Bombyx mori: one gene and its partner. The protein of the gene in region 2 interacts with the protein of the main gene of each other region in a pairwise test. Links are inferred from orthologs where the notes say so. Each region holds a gene or a part of one and is shown on either strand. Other genes may lie near its edges.

Region 1 (10,582 bases), on a different chromosome or scaffold from region 2:
GTTGTAGATGTCTATGGGCTCCAGTAACCGCTTAACACCAGGTGGGCTGTGAACTCGTCTACTCACCTAAGCAATAAAAAAAGAATGTTCTGACGCGAGAACTATGGCAAAAGTTCAGCATTACAACCGTAGGCTGCTTTTTTGAGGCTTAAGCAACGAATCAATTCAAAATCATCAAGTTTTGTATCGACAGTACAAAATGCGCAAATAACCTAATTAAAAATAATAATTTGGCATATTATCCTTATAAATAGAGGAAAAATAAGGCAAAAATACTTAGTATCAATCGTTAAAATAACATTTAATGTACGCAAGTGTACAAGCTTCAGTTAAAAGGTATTTTTTACAATCCACTTTCAACTGTACTCCTTTGTTTTTTTTTTAGACTTTTAGTGGAGACAAGAACTTAAGCAGTTCCATCAAGACATCTATCCCGTTCCACAAAAACAAATGCATGTTTAATTAGGCCTTTCTATCAAAAAATTCCATGCCATTGAAAACCAAAGCATGTTTTACAAACACGTTTATTCTTGCGCTAAGTTTCGCTTCGAACATTAGCGAGTTTTACCGGGAAAAGCGGTTACGACACGATCTCAAGTGTTGGTAGGCGCTATGAGTCACCACTTGGCAAGGGAATATAGTTAGTTATTGACCCGGAACGCAGCCAGGCTCGCCGGACTACTGGCGCCATTTGATTGATAGAGCGATAAAAGGCACAACTTTTGATGTCTCAAAAACCGATCCTACAATATCGCTGCCGATACAAATATCTATATATAAACTAGCTGACCCGGCAGACTTCGTACCTAGTGCCTCAATTGATAAATAAAAGACCTAAACTTTTGTATAAAATAAACTTAAAACAAACAAAAGGAATTCGGCCGACGGGGGACACATCAAAGGAAAAACAAAATTGTTATTTTTATTTAATTCCGAGCATTTTCATATTTATCTACCTTTTAAACCTTCTCTGGACTTCCACAAATAATTCAAGACCAAAATTAGCCAAATCGGTCCAGCCATTCTCGAGTTTTAGCGAGACTAACGAACAGCAATTCATTTTTATATATATAGATTAATGAGTGAAGCAAAAACTTTGTATACCTTTTTATGAAAATTGCGCGGACCTAGGAGTATGAAATTTCCCACACTTATAGAGAATATAGAGAAGAAATGCAGAATGCTAATATTCTTTCTTAAATTATGCATAGATAATATATTAAATCAATTTAAAAAAAAACATTACACAACACTACCATGTATTTGACACACACGCATGCATACTATTTGTTTATTGTCAAGCTTTTCTTATTGCTTATAGTCTGTGGTCAAATTGAGATTAGATTAAATATTTTTTGTCTTTATTAATATTTGTGTAAAGTGTAGTCTTGGCGAAATCTGTGATTATAGAAGTCTTTGACAATCATAATAGTGTACAAACTTATAATTTCAATTAATTATAGTCGAATTTCGACTACCGGGGGACCATTAGTTTTTTAAAGTGCTCATATTGTGTCACTAAGATATCATCCTACAAAATTATACTCCATACGAGCTTTTCTTTTATTGCCTAGAAGGGTGGACGAGCTCACAGCCCACCTGGTGTTAAGTGGTTACTGTAGCCCATAGACATCTACAACGTAAACGAGACTCACCTTGAGATATAAGTTCTAAGGTCTCAAGTAGTTACAGTGGCTGTCCTGCCCTTCAAACCGAAACGCGTTACCGCTTCACGGCAGAAATAAGCGGGGTTGTGGTCTACCCGTGCGGACTCACAAGAGGTCCTACCACCAGTAAAAAGTGAAATGAGAGCTTCCTTGGTCTGAAGTACGTTGAAAATGACCATTCTTTTTTTCAGACCATACCTAAGCGGCAGTGTGACGTAATCGATGCGAGGTGCAAACTTAGCTTGGTCGAGCTGTACACACGATTATGATTACATTTTTTTTATTTATTGGCGCAGACTGTCTGCTCTTTATTTTTAGATTAGATAATTAAGTTATTGTGTTCAGATTGTGCATAATCATCGACATGATATTCGTAACCATTCTCGTTCATATCTTCGGATTTGAGGAGCCCAAAAAACGAGTTACGCGGTTCCAATCTGACGGTAGATTCAGCGAAGCACTTGAATTCCCTGATCTCACCTTCCAAAGCGTGCGTAGGTGGAATAGCCCCCGCGGCTTCAGGCGATTAGGTAAGGGGAAAAAGGACACGATACGGCATCACTACATAGTATAAAACAAAGTCGCTTTCTCTGTCCCTATAGCCCTATGTATGCTTAAATCTTTAAAAGTACGCAACGGATTTTGATGCGGTTTTTTTTAATAGATAGAGTGATTAAAGAGGAAGGTTTATATGTATGATAACATCCATTAAATAGTGGAGAAATCAATAATAAATTACAGTTTCCGAAGTGAAGCGAGGGCGGGTCGCTAGTTAATTTTATATAACACATCGTAGCAACAGCCATATTTAGTTGATTTTCCGCAATTAGAAACTCATTACTTCCATGTTTATTGGGAGTGCGCGGTCCACGGTATTTCGTCAGAATTATGAGTCACCCTGTGACCTTAGGCAAGCAAACGGAATGGTTTTATTGATCGACCGAAGGAACGGTAAGCGGTCAAACGCACTTATGATGGCCAGACTAGTGTAGCAAGTTTATTATATCCGTATTCTTGATTTGTTTGGGCTGTGGACAAGCCATATTAAAACTAGTTAAGCCGAGATCTTTTTGAACTACATATACCTATTGAGGGGTGAAAAGCTTTTTTGGTATAAGCGCGTCCTTTTTGCAACTTTACAGAAGAGGCATTTAAAGTTTAAATTTTGGAAAAAAACTTCTACAGCAGGACAAAAAAATTTGTTAATCAAAACTGCCAGATAAAAAAAAATTAAGAGATTTTACGGGAAACTTTGGCATTATTATTATCATCATCATCAGCAAAACTTAAAACACAATTTTGATGTATAATTGAGCGAACAGTAAATACCTATTTTAAAAGTGTTTTTTTCTTTCCATCGTGTTTCTTATTATTGCGTAATATTTCATTACACCTTGATCTATCGTGATTGTCATTCAATTCGTCTTAATATTTTGCATATCACGGTGACGAGAGTTAAAACAGTGGCCTTAAGAGCGTTTTCTATGAAAATTAAAAATATCGTTCATTTGTAACAGGCAAACGGAACAACGGCTATAAATACATAACGAATCGAAATATAGGCTAAGACAATAAGTTTTTTTTTAAACATTTTGAACTGGCTACAAATCTTGACAGTTTAGAATTGATTTGTTGTCTAGGGCCACAAAAAAGTGGACTACAACTGTAAAGCTATACTTTTGCTGCAGGCAAATAGGCCCCTTACATTAGGAAGGAAATGTACCAAAAAAAAACCTCAAATCACCAAACTAACTAGTTTATTAGTAGTAGTAGTGTTAGTAGTTAGTTTGTTAATCATCATCATCATTCTTTCCTATTACCCTCTGCTGGGGTGTAGGGCTCGAATCAAATTTTTTCCATTTATATCGGTCTTGGGCAGTCTGTTCTAACTCCTCCCACACTTTGAGAAAGCCCGATACCCACCTATCAAAGAAAGCACTGACCTGGAAAGTGTCTGGCAAAAGGAAGAGAGGCCGCCCCAGAACAACTTGGCGTCGCTCGGTGGAGCAGGAGCTAGGGGTCTTGGGCATGACGTGGGAGGAGTTAGTTTGTTAATAGTTAATAAAAAACTAATTAGTTTAATAAACGCTATAGAACATACGTATGTCGCGTACATTCGCAAGACATATTTATTATGTAACCAGCTGTACCCGTCCGCTTCGCTGGGCATTTAATATTTATTTCTCTCCAACACAAAAATTCTCATCATTAACGCCCCCGCAACTGGTGCAGGGAGTCCAACACTAATATAAATATTAGCCTATCCATTAAGTACATGTATTTTCTACATGGATACCAAGTTTCAAGTCAATCGGATGCATGGTTCAGTAGTTATAACGGAACATCCGTAAAAACCACTGTAGAATTATATATATTAGTATACATTATGTATATAGGATCGAAGCCGTATGTTTTAGGGGAAAAGTCAAATGAAATTACTTGTTAGTTCAACGCTGAGAGAATTTGCTAGTATAGTCTTTTTAGAAGAACCCGAGAAACTTTTCTAAAGATTCTGATTAATTTCTACATACTTCTACATATTTTTTTTTATTGCTGAGATGGGTCGACGAGCTCACAGCCCACCTGGTGTTAGGTGGTTACTGGAGCCCATAGACATCTACAACGCAAATGCGCCACCCACCTTGAGATATAAGTTCTAAATCATTTCTATTGGATTCACAAAAACTAATTTAATTTATAGTATTTATAGGAACTAGTTTTATCCTTGCTTTTGAAAACCTCCTTTTATTAAAGTTATTTTTATTTATTTTTTATGTACAAGTGTAAATGTTGTGCTGCTTGTCAGTATTAGTAATAGTATTATCGTGCTTTATTTTATTTTATTTGTTGTTTCGTTGTGGGCTGCCTACGGGGTGTTGTTACTGTGTGCTTATTATGTTATATATGTATGTATTCGGGTTCAATATTTAATTTGATTTTTGTTTTGTTTTTTTCTTAAATTTTTATAATTTACTAGTTTTACTAATTTATACCATATTCTAAGTATGTACACACGTAATTAGCCTTCATTCCCGCAAAGAACCAAGGGGAAACGGGGGTGACTGAAAATCAGCGCTGTTCGATTTATCAACCTCGAACAGCAATAGCTGAGCCACCTCCTTTTGCCTTTTTCTCTTTTTTTTCTTTTCTTTTATTTGTATTTCATTTTATTTTCTGTGATGTGAAAGGCAATAAATGATTTTTATTATTTTTATTTTATTATTATTATTATAAGGTCTCAGTATAGTTACAACGGCTACCCCACCCTTCAAACCGAAGCGCATTACTGCTTCACGGCAGAAATAGGCGGGGCGGTGGTACCTACCCGTGCGGACTCACAAGAGGTCCTAACACCAGTGATTATGCAAATTATAATTTTGCGGGTTTGATTTTTATTACACGATGTTATTCCTTCACCGTGGAAGTCAATCGTGAACATTTGTTGAGTACGTATTTCATTAGAAAAATTGGTACCCGCCTGCGGGATTCGAACATCGGTGCATCGCTACATACGAATGCACCGGACGTCTTATCCTTTAGGCCACGACGACTTTCAAAGATACGAAACTGTTAATAATGTTAATTGAATGTACTTCGACAAATAAGTTTATTTCTTAAGTTACATATTGTAGTGATTCTCATGCGGTCGCGTGCAATCGACGTTTTCGTGATAACAACCAAACTATATTTACAATCTTACTAAATTATCGCGGCATTATTGATAACGTTTAAGTGAACATTACAATTCTGATAACATTTATTGCTGGGTTTTTTTTTAGAAACATTTTATTTTTATATATATATAAACTATGTAATATCAAAGCAAGCAGTTGCCGATTTAAAATATTTTGATTTAAATTATTGACAGCATCGCACACAAGTATTGTACGAAGATTTTTAAATTCGACAATCCAATTATTATTATTTTTATTGCTTAGTTGAGTGGACGAGCTCGCAGCCCATCTGATGTTAAGTGGTTACTGGAGCCCATAGACATCCACAACGTAAATGCGCCACCCACCTTGAGATATAAGTTCTAAGGTCTCAAGTATAGTTACAACGGCTGCCCCACCCTTCAAACCGAAACGCATTACTGCTTCACGGCAGAAATAGGCGGGGAGGTGGTACCTACCCGCGCGGACTCTCAAGAGGTCCTACCACCAGTGAGGTGAATTTGTAGGTAAATCCTTTTAGACTTGATTAAGTTAGAGGTCTTTCAAATTTCTCAGTTGTCGTCAGTTGTGTTCAAGATATTATTGAAATTATTGAAATAGAAATCATCTTAACTTTCGTATAATAATTGTTTTTGAGATTTGTTACCGAGTTAGATAGCGTGAATGCTATCACAATGACAACATATAAACTATTACGTAGGCTTTAGTATATTAAGAATGATATGTAGATATAAGACGCGTTGCTTTACATACAAGTGTTTTGAAGAAAAGGTTTATTTTTAATGAACACCCGTTTATTTCAATTTACGATTCGGGCATGGTTATAAAGATAACTAGAATATTTACAAGTCCTCGGTAAGAGCTCTAGAATGAAAAAGATACTATTATCTAGTCTAGCTTAGTCTGAGCCGCTGAGTTTCTCGCCGGATCTTCTCAATGGGTCGCGATTCCGATCCGGTGGTAGATTTAGCGAAGGACTGCTCTAATTAGGGCTTTTAGCAAAAAAAAATTTATTGCTTAGATTGGTGGACGAGCTCACAGCCCACCTGGTGTTCAGTGGTTACTGGAGCCCATAGACATCTACAACGTAAATGCGCCACCCACTTTGAGATATAAGTTCTAAGGTCTCAGTATAGTTACAACGGCTGCTCCACCCTTCAAACCGAAACGCATGACTGCTTCACGGCAGAAATAGACAGGGCGGTGGTACCTACCCGCGCGGACTCACAAGAGGTCCTACCACCAGTAATTACTCAAATTATAATTTTGCGGGTTTGATTTTTATTACACGATGTTATTCCTTCACCGTGGAAGTCAATCGTGAACATTTGTTGAGTACGTATTTCATTAGAACAATTGGTACGGACGTCTTATCCTTTAGGCCACGACTTCAAACGACGACTTATCAGTGGGTCGCGATTCCGATCCGGTGGTAGATTCAGCGAAGCACTGTTCTTATTAGGGCTGTTAGCAAATTCCTCAAGTTGTGCCCGTGAGGCTCACCTGCCCGTCCGCGCGTAGCTGAAATAAGATCCTTAGGCTACCAGCAAATAGATAGGTAGAAAAAAAAAGGACTCGCCTTCACAACGACGATGGAATCTGACATTTCGGCGGCGATCTCGTCCAGTTTAGGCCCGATCATCTTGCACGGTCCGCACCAGGTCGCCATGAAGTCGATCACGACGAGCTTGTCGCCTGCTTCCGCCAGCCTTGTCTTCAGGTCGTCGGAATCTTTGATGTGAATGGACATCTTGGGCTGTGGACAAGCGACGTTAAAACTATATAGTTAAGCCGAGATCTTTTTAAACTACATATAGAGATGTGAAGGGGTTATCTATACTAATATTATAAAGAGGAAAAATTTGTTTGTTTGTGTTGAATAGGCTCCGAAACTACTGAAGCGATTTGAAAAATTATTTCACTGTTTGGAAGCTACACTAATCCCGAGTTACATAAGCTATAATGTTTTTTGATTAGGGATCCTTACTAAAACTCCAATAATGTAACCCAAGGAGTAAAAAGATTACCTAAAATTTTCTTTACATCGCGTGCCCTGCGACAACTATTGATGATAGAAAAAAATAATATACTACGACTTTGTAGAACACATTATTATTTACAAAAAGTGTCGCGACAGCATATGTCTAACTATTATAGTTATGCCGTAATAAGTGTGCTTTTATTTAAAAAAATAAAACAACGTCAAATATCATCGAAATCTTTGTCAAAGACCCGAGCGGAGCCGGAACGGGCCGCTAGTTTGGTATAAGCGCGTCATTTTTGCAACTTTCGAGCCATTTAAAAATTTAACATTTCGAAAAAAAACTTCAGCAATTTGAATGGAGTAAGCTTAATTGAAGTTCAATTAAAAAACATCGAACTTTTTGATACTAATACCAAATAAAACGGATCTTTTGGTTACAACCACCCCCTCACCCGATACACCCCTCGATATTGTTTTTTAAGTTTCGAATACTTCAAACTTTTCATTTTCACTAACGTATATGGGAGCAATGACTGTAGTGGAAATGAGGCACGTTAGGACACGCGGAGAAAATATGTGAGTGGATAAAAGTACGTATTACAGGATAATCACTCAAAACTAGGTGGTCCGTGAACTCGTCCACTGAAGAAAACTAATAGGGATTCACTAAAGAGTACTAAGATATTAGGTTAATTGTAAAATTAACTATATGCTTTAAAAATTATACGTTTATTAATTTATTAAATCATTTTGTAGTCTGGTCGTTCGTTTGACTTGGCTTTTCGTCTTCACTATAAGAACTGCTCGCTCAGATGTTACGATAAAATAGCAGCCATATCTATATATTAATACGTGAAGCAAAAACTTTGTATTCCTTTTTATGAAAATTGCGCGGACGGAGGAGTATGAAATTCCCCACACTTATAGAGAATATAGAGAAGAAATGCACAATGCTAATATATTTTTAAAATAATGCATAAAAGATACATTTAATCAATAAAGAAAACATTACACACACTACATACCATGTATTTGACGCACACACGCATGCATACTATTTATTGTCAAACTTTTGTTCTTGGCGTCTGTTGTCAAATTGAGAATAGATTAAACATTGTCTTTGTTAATATTTTTTATAGTGTAGTCTTGGCGAAATTTGTGATTATAGAAGTATAAAATACAATCATAATAGTGTACAAACTTACAATTCCAATTAATTATAGTCGAATTTCGACTACTGCGGGACCTCTAGTATTTACTAATACACAATCACGACATTAACCAAAATTCCAATTCGACGTCTTAAACAATACGTTCTATTGCCAAAGTCATTATCCGTGTGAACGTAAACACAACAAAAAAACCGGTTATATTCTGAATAAATAATGTCCGTATCAAATAACCAGCTTTGTGTCGGTCCGATAGGTCTTAGTTACGTTTGACAAGGTCGTCGGCGATCGATAAGTACAAATGGAAAACCTTGCAGAGTGCAATACGCCATGTCAGATACGTGGGTATTAGTTAGCGGACGGGCCTCTTATAAACTATAGAAATATCTGGAACTTTTGGAACGATCAAAAGATTTGAAACCTTAAAGAGAGACAAATAAAGGCTTAGTTTACAGGCCTAGAGCCTGTGAGTTCACCCACTCCTTCCGATGAAGCTGGAAAGGCCTCCGAGCCACTAAAGTTGGGGGTTTATAAAAAAACCGGTCTTTTAGCGACCAGTTTACTTATATACACTTGCAACTTTAAAGCAACGCATTTAGACTAGAAAAATAAAAACATTTTTGGGCGGGGAAAACCTGAATCTTTTACAAAGTTCCTAAGGAGGCGCGTCATTTGTCTGGAGCTCTGTGGTCGAAGATGAAAAGGCCGGGAAGAAAAGAAAATAACTATAATGTTTTTATTTAATTATACTCGCAGGTCTTTGACGTTCGCTTTAGAGCCTAAAGTAGACCTAAGCGATAGCCCTAAAGTTTAGATTGCTAGAATTTGGATTCTTTGAATTATTTTATAGTTTTGCAAAAAAAACAAATCTCACGGTTCATCTAATCTGATGTACATTGTAGTTACCGAGACTACGTAATATATAACTAGCTTTGATATTAAATCAAGTTCTCAATTGCATAACAATAACACAGCTTTCACGTCACATAAATAGGTACCTAGTTTGGTGGTAACTCGAGCGAAACCATATCACGCCTCATAGGTCAAGACAGCAAATGAAAATCATCATGATTCTATTCTATATCATTAGCTGTTACCCACGGCTTCGTCTGCGTGGTCAAGGAAAAGGATCAGTGTAGTTTCCGGTGATATTGACATTTTTTTCGGTATAAAAGGTTACCCAATGTCATTCTCCTAAATACATGCGGTTATTTAAAAAAAAACTACAATCCATCAGTTTGTTTCGACGTCAAAAAAAAGGAGAAACACACATCCCATTTATAATATATAAGGAAGTATCGATAGTTCATAGTCTAAATTAGTTCATATCCTTGTAGTGTCCCCACTAAAAACCATCGTGATTTACATGCAATTAGCAATAGGCCGCGTCGAGATCAAATTTATAGTGAAAGACGCGAGAGAGAGAGAGAGAGCGTACTTATGTATTGTTTCTCGAGAATTTTCAATTTAAAACCTTTACGACCTTATAGTTTTGTAAACGGTTCAAAATCAAGGTACCTACATCCCAGATAAACTACACGTGGCGCGTATATTGCGGCTACGAATGGTAGGTACATTTTAATCAAAGGACAGAACCGGTCTAGTTCACATAAAATCTTCTGGAATCCCGTTTGCATACGGATCTAAGTTTTTTCCTACTCCTATACAATTTCTCAAACAGATTTCATGCTCCAAAGACATATTACATTACGAATTCGACATTGAAAATCAATTTTAAGCCGGAAAAATTCTATGTAGCTAGAAACACAATAAATTAGAGGTTGCTATGTACATACTCCAAAATGTGTGTGAATAATTGTTCGAATTTGGAAGCGAAGGTATAAAATAATTTTAAGACCAAAAGACGTAGACCTTATTTTTATTGACACCCGAGCTCCGATACAAACTTAATATAATATTGAACACTCACCAGATAAATTGAAACTAAAAATAATATCACAGTTTAAAATGCAAATAAGAAACACGCAAGTGACAACGTACAGTCGATTTGGCGCCAAACTTATTACTGAATCAGAATAGCTCGGCTCGAAGCGTTCTGAATTTGAATTTTCCTCAACAGAACGAGAC
Region 2 (9,901 bases):
AATCATTCGAAGAAACGCAAGTATATTATCACTCCTGTGTGCTTAGTGCGAGTTTTGTAACGCTATCGATAGCGTAAAAGTAACTCATATTTGTATGCAGTTGGAACAGCGCCCCTAGCGGCAAACGTTCCAACTCCATACAAATACGAGTTAACTTTTACGCTATCGAGAACGTTAAAAAACTCGCACTAAACACACAGATAGTTGATAAGTGCAACAAAGTGACAATGCCATCCACAGTTCGAGAAGTCTGCGAGCCGCCATAACCGCGATCGGCCCTTTCGACCCAGACGTCCTCATTCCATATAATGAATAATATTTCGCGATAACACAGACGTAAAGTAAACTGGAAACTTCGTCGCAACAACTCATCGAGTTTTACGACCGAATAGACCGTAAACCGCAGCGCGAAATTCCCGCAGTAAAGCACTCGGTGTTGCCATCTAAATATATTCTTTAACACCATCCGCTATTTTAAGACGTTCACATTATGTATTTGTGTTACGCGAATTTATATTTAGTGTCACTAGAATGCTTTAATTAACAAACCGGAGTTTGGTATTATTAAGATGGACGCGAACACGCTATAAACTCTAATGTAAGCTTAAATAGCAGTCATCCCACGCGACAACGGAGTGATACGACGATTTGCATTAAATTCTAATTGCAACACACACAGACGACGAAGCAATGATACTCTTATGTAAACTATTGCCTTGTCTATACTAATATTATAAAGAGGAAAGATTTGTTTGTTTTTTGTATTGAATAGGCTCCGAAACTACTGAACCGATTTGAAAAATTCTTTCACTGTTTGGAAGCTACACTATTCCCGAGTGACATTGGTTATAATCTTTTTTGAAAAAAATTAGGGATCCTTACTAAAACTCAAATAATGTAACCCAAGGTGTAACAAAATTTCCTAAAATATTCTTTACATCGCGTGCCCTGCGAAAACTATTGATGATAGAATAAAATAATGTACTACGACTTTGTAGAACACATTATTATTTACAAAAAGTGTCGCGACAGCATAATAATATATCTTACTATTATAGTTATGCCGCAATAAGTGTTCTTTTATTTAAAAAAATAAAATAACGTCAAATATCGTTAAAGACCCGAGCGGAGCCGGAGCGGTCCGCTTGTCTTAAATACATTCGGATACTGTTTTGAACAAAACGTTGTTTGGTGCCTAACCTTTAAAAATGGAATTATTGCGTTAAATTAACGGCCGTCTGGTGTAGTGGTAAGTGACATGGTCACTACACAAGGGGGTCGCGGGTTCAAATCCCGCCAAGGGAAAATATTTGTATAATAAATATAAATATATGTCTTTTCCAGGGTTATGGATGTATATTAAATATATGTATGTGTATAATAAAAATCTTACATTTATTTCCGTTATCTGGTAACCTGTAACACAAGCTCTGTACGAACTTAGCACGGGACCAGCTAACGTGGCGTGATTGTTAGGAAATATTTATTTATTTATTTATTTCAATAGGCATATTTAGTTAGCACACTTTGTGATTTTGATTGCTTGATTTAATTCATTCTCGTGTTCGAGTTCCGAACATGATAGATCCAAGTAATGGTTGGTAAGTTATAAAGCGGACACTCAATCGCTGTCTAGACTCTAGACCGGACTCAGGTCAGCGCTGGGCCATAAACCGCTATATGATACAATCGACCGAGAAAAGCTTTTGGATATTTACAGAGCTAGTTATATGTTAAGATAAACACCGTGGTTGTTTTGTTCCATTAGGCTCTGTGTTTCCGTTTTTACGACAAGACGTGTGAATGTCAAAGAAACACATCGGGTTTTTTTTTGTCAAGCTTCATATGTTCCACACTAGTCCATTTGCAAAATCTTTTTTTTGTACACAATATGGTCTTTAACTGTGAAGTTGTCGTTTTACAATATTAGTAAATTTGAAACTTAATTTATGTAGGTATTGCAGACAATAAATTCTAGATTGAAAAATGAATTTCATTTTAAAAATATAGAATTCTAATTTCAAATTATGTCATTTATTTGTTTATTGATTACGTACTGTTTTCTTTTTATAAAATTTGTAATCTTTTTCATCAATGTGGACAAAATAAAAATACGAGTAAGGATTTCCAGTTCGGCTGCGGAAGCAATGCCGCACAAACGGCTCACAACATTAATGACGTATACAAAGTGCAATACAAACGAAAGCACGACTCATTATTAGTTTGAAAGCTTCCGACAACGAAATTTTTATCTAAAAAATTAACCCCATAGTCGCGTGAAAACTAAAGTCAACAATGGCGATAGTGGAAACCGGCGATAAATACCCAATCTACAGCTGACGTAGCAGCAGCTTTTAACGTTAGCATCCAAACCGAAATTGGTTCATTGGCGATACATATTCGAATCCTAAAACCGTGTTTAAATTTTTTATTATACCAAAACATATTTTCAGACTCGTGCGATGGCGTTCGTTGCGGTGGAGGCAAGCGGTGCATTCAAGACGCAGAGTTTGGTGTTCATTGCGTACGATGTAGTACGTGCAATGTTGCGGGTTCGCTCGTTTGTGCGGTCGACGGCAAAACTTATGCGGGCACGTGCGCGCTTAGACGCGCCGCTTGTGAGCGTGGTCGCGCCTTGCCGCTGGCTTACAAAGGACGTTGCATAGGTTTGTAAATAATAATTCTAAATTTTTTTAATTATGGTATATCACAACATTACGCTAATTGTATATACGTATGTCTGTTTTAGACGACTTAATTTTTTTTTATAACATTAAATCATCATCAACGAAAACACAGCTATAAAAAAATATCGAGATCTGTTTACAACTAGGAATGTAAACTCATTACATACATAAATACCTAAATCGCGAAAGATTTGTTAAGATAAGACGCACTCTTTCTTATACTGATCTATAAAAAGATTTCCATGTCATTTTAGAAATAGATTTATTATTTTAATTTCATTGCCATTTACAAACAAAAAACATGATTTTAGAGTATTGACTTTTTACATTTAATATTGCATAAGAAATGTGACGTCCGTACTTGAAGTTGTGTTTTGTTGAGTTTGTGTTTTTTTTTTCCTACATATTCGCTGATTTAAGGTACGCGGCCTTGGCCTGCGCCGGATGCACCGCAAGCAACGGATTTTATTTTGCTTTGTATTTTTTGCTCATAAATGCCGGTGCATTCGGTGCGGGCGACGCGGACAGTGGCCGCAGCACTATGAGAAAACATACAAAGCAAAATAAAATCCGTTGCGTGTCGTGCGTGCGGTGCGTCCCATTCCCGATCCTGCGGACAGAATGGAAAGCAGTCGACGTCGCCCAAAACACGTCATTTCGGATCCTCCCGATCCACTAACGGTGTTTTTAGGTACCTCAAGTACCGGTCATCGTCCTCGTCGAACCCGTCGCATGCGACGAAGGGCTCGACGAGTAAATTAACCCACAGACACAGCCCACTGAGTTTCTCGCCAGATCTTCTCTGTGGGTCGCGTTTCCGATCCGGTGGTAGATTCTGCGAAGCACGGCTCTTGCTAGGGTTCGTGTTAGCAACGTCGTCAGGTTTGAGCCCCGTGAGCTCACCTACTAGTTAAGGTAACGCTGAAATAGCCTCTCAAGGCTATCGGCTTAGGCAGGAAAAAAAAGGTACGTCCGGCGCGGGCCTATGGACGCATGCCTTAAGGGGTTATCCCAGCTACGCCTGGACGGGAGTTTGTCTGATTGCATAGTTTGGTATGACGCAGCGAACGCGACGTGTTCGAGTGTGTCTTGTTCGAGGGGGCAGCGCTGCGTGTCGGGCGGCGCGAGCGGCGTGCGCTGCGTGTCGTGCGGCACGTGCGCCGGCGGCCGTCGCAAGCCGCTGTGCGGGTCCGACCGCCGCACCTACCCGTCCTGGTGCCGGCTGCAGCGGGCCACTTGCCGCGCTGGCCGGGTCGTGGACCCGCTGCATCGGGGACCTTGCAAAGGTGACTTTACCTACCAAAAAATTCATAACTCCATGTAGTTACCAGTTTTTTTACTCTCTCGATAGCGTAAAAGTGAACTCAAATTTGTTTGGAGTTGGAACAGCGCCACTGGCAACCAACTTAGCAAAACTCGCACCCACATACGCGTGTCAATGTATAACTTTTTCATCCCAACCAATGATGATGATAACACAAGATGAATAACATACACTCTCAAAAAATTCTAATAAAACCATTTTATCCGGTTAATCTTATCGTTTATCATATTCATTCCATTGTTTGAGACGATTCAAATACTTTACAGTTTTCGTGATCACACACAAATGACTGACTCGAATTAAATGAAATAATTAACCGTAAAAATAGTGTCGCGAAAACCAACAAAAAGCTAAGATACTAAAATTAAACAATTCATAATGATCGGTGTATTGATACTTTACTCAACAGTTTCCGGAAGATGTAACTGATATACTTCTATTAATTTTCATTAATTTTCTTTCAGAAGCCGTAAACGTAACGGACAATATGATGACTAATGCGAGAGGTTTAAGCGCACTGGACATGCACGTCCTATAGTCATAGACTCTTCTAGTTTTAGCGTACCAAGCTTCGTAGTCTATTCAATTTGCAAGTGAAACTGTATTCGGCACCTAAGCTCTATTGTAACATTAACTAACATCGTAAAATTGAACAATATTGATTATCTTTGTTTACAACGACATAGTAATATGCTTAGAGTCTAAGAACTAAGCGGCGGTATAGAGATACACAAGGAGAGTTTTTTTGAATCAGTGCAGCGAGATTATGCATACAGTCAAAACCGTTTACTGCGACATCGTTTAATACAACATGCCGGTTATAATAACCAAGAACAAAGGTCCCGGCTGAATGCCATATGACCGCCTTATTAAAAATATTGCTTTCTACGACATTGGTAATAACGACATACCTCATAAAACGACCACATTTAACTAATATTTCGGAGAATTAGATCTGTTAGAACGACCGGCTAAGCTGTATTGTAAACAATTTGAATAGGTATCCACATTTGTCTTCAATGGCTTTTAAAATCACGAAAGAAAACAATAGGATTTAGTTTAGTGTAGGGTCTTTTCTAATTCTTAGAAACAAAACACGTGCATGCGGTAGTCAAAGTCCGCTTCTTCATATTTCTTCAGTTAGTTTGTTACTTATCTATACACAAGACGCACCAAAACTTTGTGGAGTTATTCATGAAACTTTAAAAATGTCACAAAAAAAAAGAAAACAAATTAATATTGAAGAAAAATCGCGTATTATGTAAATATATTTTTCCAATAATACCCTATCGATTTGTTTGTACTTGCACGATACACATTAAACATCACCGGTTGTTACGACTATCGGTTTTTACGACTGAATATGAGCAATCCCTTCGATGTCGTTATAACAGATTTTGACTGTATTATGTTTCAAACAAATAATACCTCAGTTATTCAGACGATGATAAAAATTTCTCGTCAATGGGACGTTCAAAAGCCAAGCTGTCTTTTCAGTTGTAAAACTCTTTTACGCGGAAACTTTCGTTTACATTAGGTACGTAAAAATGTTGTTTTATTCTCGCTGTTATGTTTAATGTTTATTATATTGTACTTATTCGAAGAACTCTTCTAGTGTAAATAAGTCTTTATGCCGGAATTAAAACCTATTCGTCAAAAAGTACGTTGAATACATTAGTGTTTCATAGCGCCAGGTAGTCAGTCATCAAAGTGCCAGGTTATGTTGAATTTCCATAACAATGTAGTCAGTGTAGATTTTAGAAAAATCTGTCGAACCTGATGCACCTTTTCGATTTTTTATAGATAAATAATAATTATTATTATATTAGTTTTAATAACACTTACATTATTAAAATTTTGAGCACCAAATCGTACTTAATATTTAGTCAAAATATTAATTTTAGGTATGTACTGGTAGTTAGCACAATGTTTGGATATTAAATATTTCTAACTTAATGATTACACTGTTATTTCCATATTGTTGAAAGTCGCTGTACAAACGAAGCTCTTAATGATGAAATGATTGACACATTCATCGGACTGACATAAAATGTTCTTTTAAAATTTTTAACTTTTAGTTATTTAAGACTTACTTCACGAAATGCGGTTAAAGCTTATGCAATATTTATTAATAAGTTATGTGTATGATTTTAAGTGCAATAATTTTATAAAAAAAAAAGTGTGGAAATTATGACATATAACATGTTCTTGTTTTGTTTTTAGATTTTTTTTTATTATTAATTTTTTCCGTTTAAACTGGAACGCGTATTGCTTGTTTCGATTCGGTTTTGAACACGTTCAGAATGTTATAAAAATACGTTTTCAGTATTATGTCGAGATAAGATTTTAGGACTTTAATTTTCGAAACTTTTTTACATTGAAAATGAAGTGGTTTTTTTTTTGTAGGCTGTAAGTATAATAATAATTTATTGTTTATTTTTTAAATAATATTCAAAATGTCTCCAATTTTCATGGATGTGTGTATGTGTGTTAAACCGAGGAATTAATTTGTGAAAATGTATGCATTGGCGTTTTTTTTTTTTTCGTATGCTTAAAAGTGTAGAAGGCGAACGTCAAATGGAAAGATAGACTGCGTAAGAACGTGATGCCAAATTTAAGATTAGGAACAAAAACTTTTTTTTTTTGTTGAAGCATAATTTTCAAACCATGACATTTCGATTTATTTGGATAGGAGTCTTCTTTGGCTTCGAAATTTTATTTTTGTATATTTTTTTAGATAGGTAGCATATTTTAATATGTTACGACGGTCCATAGAGCAGTAAGCCACAAAACTAAATTAACAAATACGATCTTAATTGTGTACTTAAAACTTTCATCAACAGTGATAAATTTGTACATAGAAAAACGGTTCAATTTTAAAATCATTTCCATCAGTTGAAGCCCCATCGAACTTTTCAACTGTATCGAACAGCTTAAGAAAGATATTTGAGATATCATTGAAGCATATAACAGAACTAATCATTGTGAAAACATGTTAAAAGACATTACCTAAATCGAACGAAGCGACTTTAATTATTTTCACAAAAAAAATTGTTTAAACAACACTATTTAATAATTTCTCAATTTAATGTTAACGAAACACTCTAAAATCTAAAAATAGATATGAATGGTCCCAATGAAAAAAAGTAACAAAACAATATTCAAAGGGTTTTTTTTTAATATTCAAAACTATTTAATAATTAATATCGAATTTGGTACAACTAACCATTTGGTGTTCTACGGTTATTTAGGTATGCACGGTCTCATAATCAGCACGATTACTACTTCAACGCCTCATTAAATTAAAATTAGATTAAACATCGTCAGAATAGAAAATTAAAATGGAAATACATGTTAAAAATTTTAATGTCATTTATAAATTCTAAATTTACTAAAAAAATTCAAGTAAAATTTAATATTTTATTTTATTGTTCGTTTTTCATTCAAGATGTACAGTCGAATAACTCAAATATTATTTCGGAAGTTGGATTTCGTAATTGATAGCTGGTTTCTCTTAAGTATTTTCTCAGCTTCAGAATCAGGAGCTGTGTAAGGCATAGATTGTATAATAATTCTATAATATTGTAATAAATTGTTTAAAACCCGTTAACATAAGACTTAAAACTGTTTAATCTAAAATTGATATTGGAATAGTAAAATTCATTTATTCCTTTTTAATGTCTGGCTTTTTGACTAATAAATGTTGTAGACTTCTAGTAATCTAGATAACTTATAATATATTGCCCTGTTTCTTCATAAATATTTTACATTGAACTTGTACTTTTATTTCAGTCCTTCGAAAATCCTTTTTGTTTTGTATTGTGAATTTAATATAACAAACCAAATACCCAATCCTGGCCTGGCCCTCCCGACACCATTGCTAGTATCTCGTCACCAATTAAGCGCGGTAACTCCATTCCATCAAAATATTTGGCCAGCCCATACCGTGAGCTTCGAAGTCAAAGTACCTAGGCGTCATCCTCGACAGAGGGATGACATTCGGTCCCCAGATTAAATCAGTACTCTACAGAGCCGCGTTCCTTCTCGGTCGACTCTACCATGGGATAGAGAGGGCTGCAAGCGAAGTAAATTGTCCCTTCGTAACAAGGTGACACTCTACAAAACTTGTATACGTTCTGTCACGGCATGACCTACGCAAGTGTAGTATTCGCTCACGCGGCCCGTACTCACATTAACTCTGTACACACATCGCTGGCGGCCTCGCTCGGCCTGCACGCGCCTAGTCTCCTCTTGACTAGTTTAGTTTCTTCATTGGGCAATGATACTCGTGTGTTTGGAGTGAACATTTTTTTTCCTACCTAAGCTGATAGCCTTGAGAGGCTATTTCAGGGAAACCTTAACTAGTAGGTGAGCTCACGGGGCTCAAACCTGACGACGTTGCTAACACGAACCCTAGCAAGAGCCGTGCTTCGCAGAATCTACCACCGGATCGGAAACGCGACCCACTGAGAAGATCCGGCGAGAAACTCAGTGGGCTTTGTCTGTGGGTTAATTTACTCGTCGAGGCCTTCGTCGCAAGCGACGGGTTCGACGAGAACGATGACCGGTAAGGAGTGAACATGATGGAATTAGTTATTAAATATTATGACCGCGGTGCCGCGAGCGGCCTTGTGTCGCCGCTGGCAGCCGCGGGCAGTACCATCGACAAGACACACACGGCGCGCGGCTGTTCGCTTCACCGCGGGCGGGCGGCGGCTGTGTCGGAACCTTTTCAAGCGATACTGATCTTTTAAGTATATAGATAAAGTTTAAAATTGTTTCACACTGGAAGTGCTCGCCGCGACGCTGCCGGCCGCTGCCATTCCGGTGTGACTCGGCCCTTATTATTTTACACGCAGCGCGTTCAAGCATTCTTAATGACAAAAAAAGTGCACATGCAATAATAAACTTTACTATAATTACTCAGAACTCTGTTTCCCATGTGACAAAAATTTGGTCACCTCTACGAGCCGGTCTGTGTGAACGGACCTTTCCTCTCTCAGCAGGCAAGGTGTATTACGAATAAAAAACTTTATTTCTGATCATTTAATTCACAATCCATAAAGTACAAAATACAATTTACCTTCTTAAAGTCCAGTTTTTTAAAAGTAACTCACAAATAGGAATGTAGTGAACTGTTTTTCTCTATCAGACATTGGCCCTGATGGTTTTAACTAAATTGTTTCAAGCCAATAAAATAAAATTACGTTCCATAGACACTTCTAGTACGAATTTCAAAAATATAACTCGCCCCAATTTAGGGCATGTAGGATGTCAATATAAATACTTTAACTTAAAAATTCAATCTTGTTCACAGAAACGTTTTTTTTGTATATCTATCTGTTTATAATTAGTTAAACTATACTGAGAACTTAGAACTTTTATCTCAAGGTGTGTGGCGCATTTACGTCGTAGATGTCTATGGGTTCCAGTAACCACTTAACACCAGGTGGGCTGTGAGGTCGTCCACACATCTAGGCAATAATAAAAAAATAAAAAAGTGAAACAAATAAAGAATACAAACTGGAACTCGGAGATGGTCTGAACAGTTTATATAATAATAGAAATGATAAGTACATACACACAGACCTCAATTTTCATCAATAATGTTACTATGTCAAAGATTTTTTTGTTTACCGGCGCAGGTGGATTAGCCAGCTCATGGTATTGGTCTTCACAAGTCGTGAGGTCACAATGGTGTTTGAATGGCGGCTATCCTCCGCATCAGGCAAGACAGTGGGTTTCATTAAAAATAATAAAAATTCAACAATTTGTTTAAGATGTATGATCCCGCACATTTATCGTATACATGCTAACACAATTGACAAATAACATGATTCATTTCTTACATATTTTGTATTTAAATCGAATTTTGGGGTCACAATATATC

Evidence for each region.
Region 1: the proteins of follistatin-A (region 2) and thioredoxin-like protein interact in binary tests that used the Homo sapiens proteins (3 or more experiments, as listed by UniProt). The link is inferred for Bombyx mori from reciprocal best matches to the Homo sapiens genes FST and TXN.

Annotation. Positions count from the first base shown.
Region 1 is NC_085130.1:3,047,877-3,058,458, forward strand, and holds the start of thioredoxin-like protein, read right to left. Parts: upstream 7,092-10,582; coding exon 6,921-7,091; intron 1-6,920. UniProt on the Homo sapiens protein: Participates in various redox reactions through the reversible oxidation of its active center dithiol to a disulfide and catalyzes dithiol-disulfide exchange reactions.
Region 2 is NC_085125.1:5,660,985-5,670,885, reverse strand, and holds the end of follistatin-A, read left to right. Parts: intron 1-2,453; coding exon 2,454-2,666; intron 2,667-3,751; coding exon 3,752-3,973; intron 3,974-4,475; coding exon 4,476-4,549; 3' UTR 4,550-7,785; downstream 7,786-9,901. UniProt on the Homo sapiens protein: Multifunctional regulatory protein whose primary function is to antagonize members of the transforming growth factor beta (TGF-beta) superfamily including activin, myostatin, GDF11 or bone morphogenetic proteins (BMPs).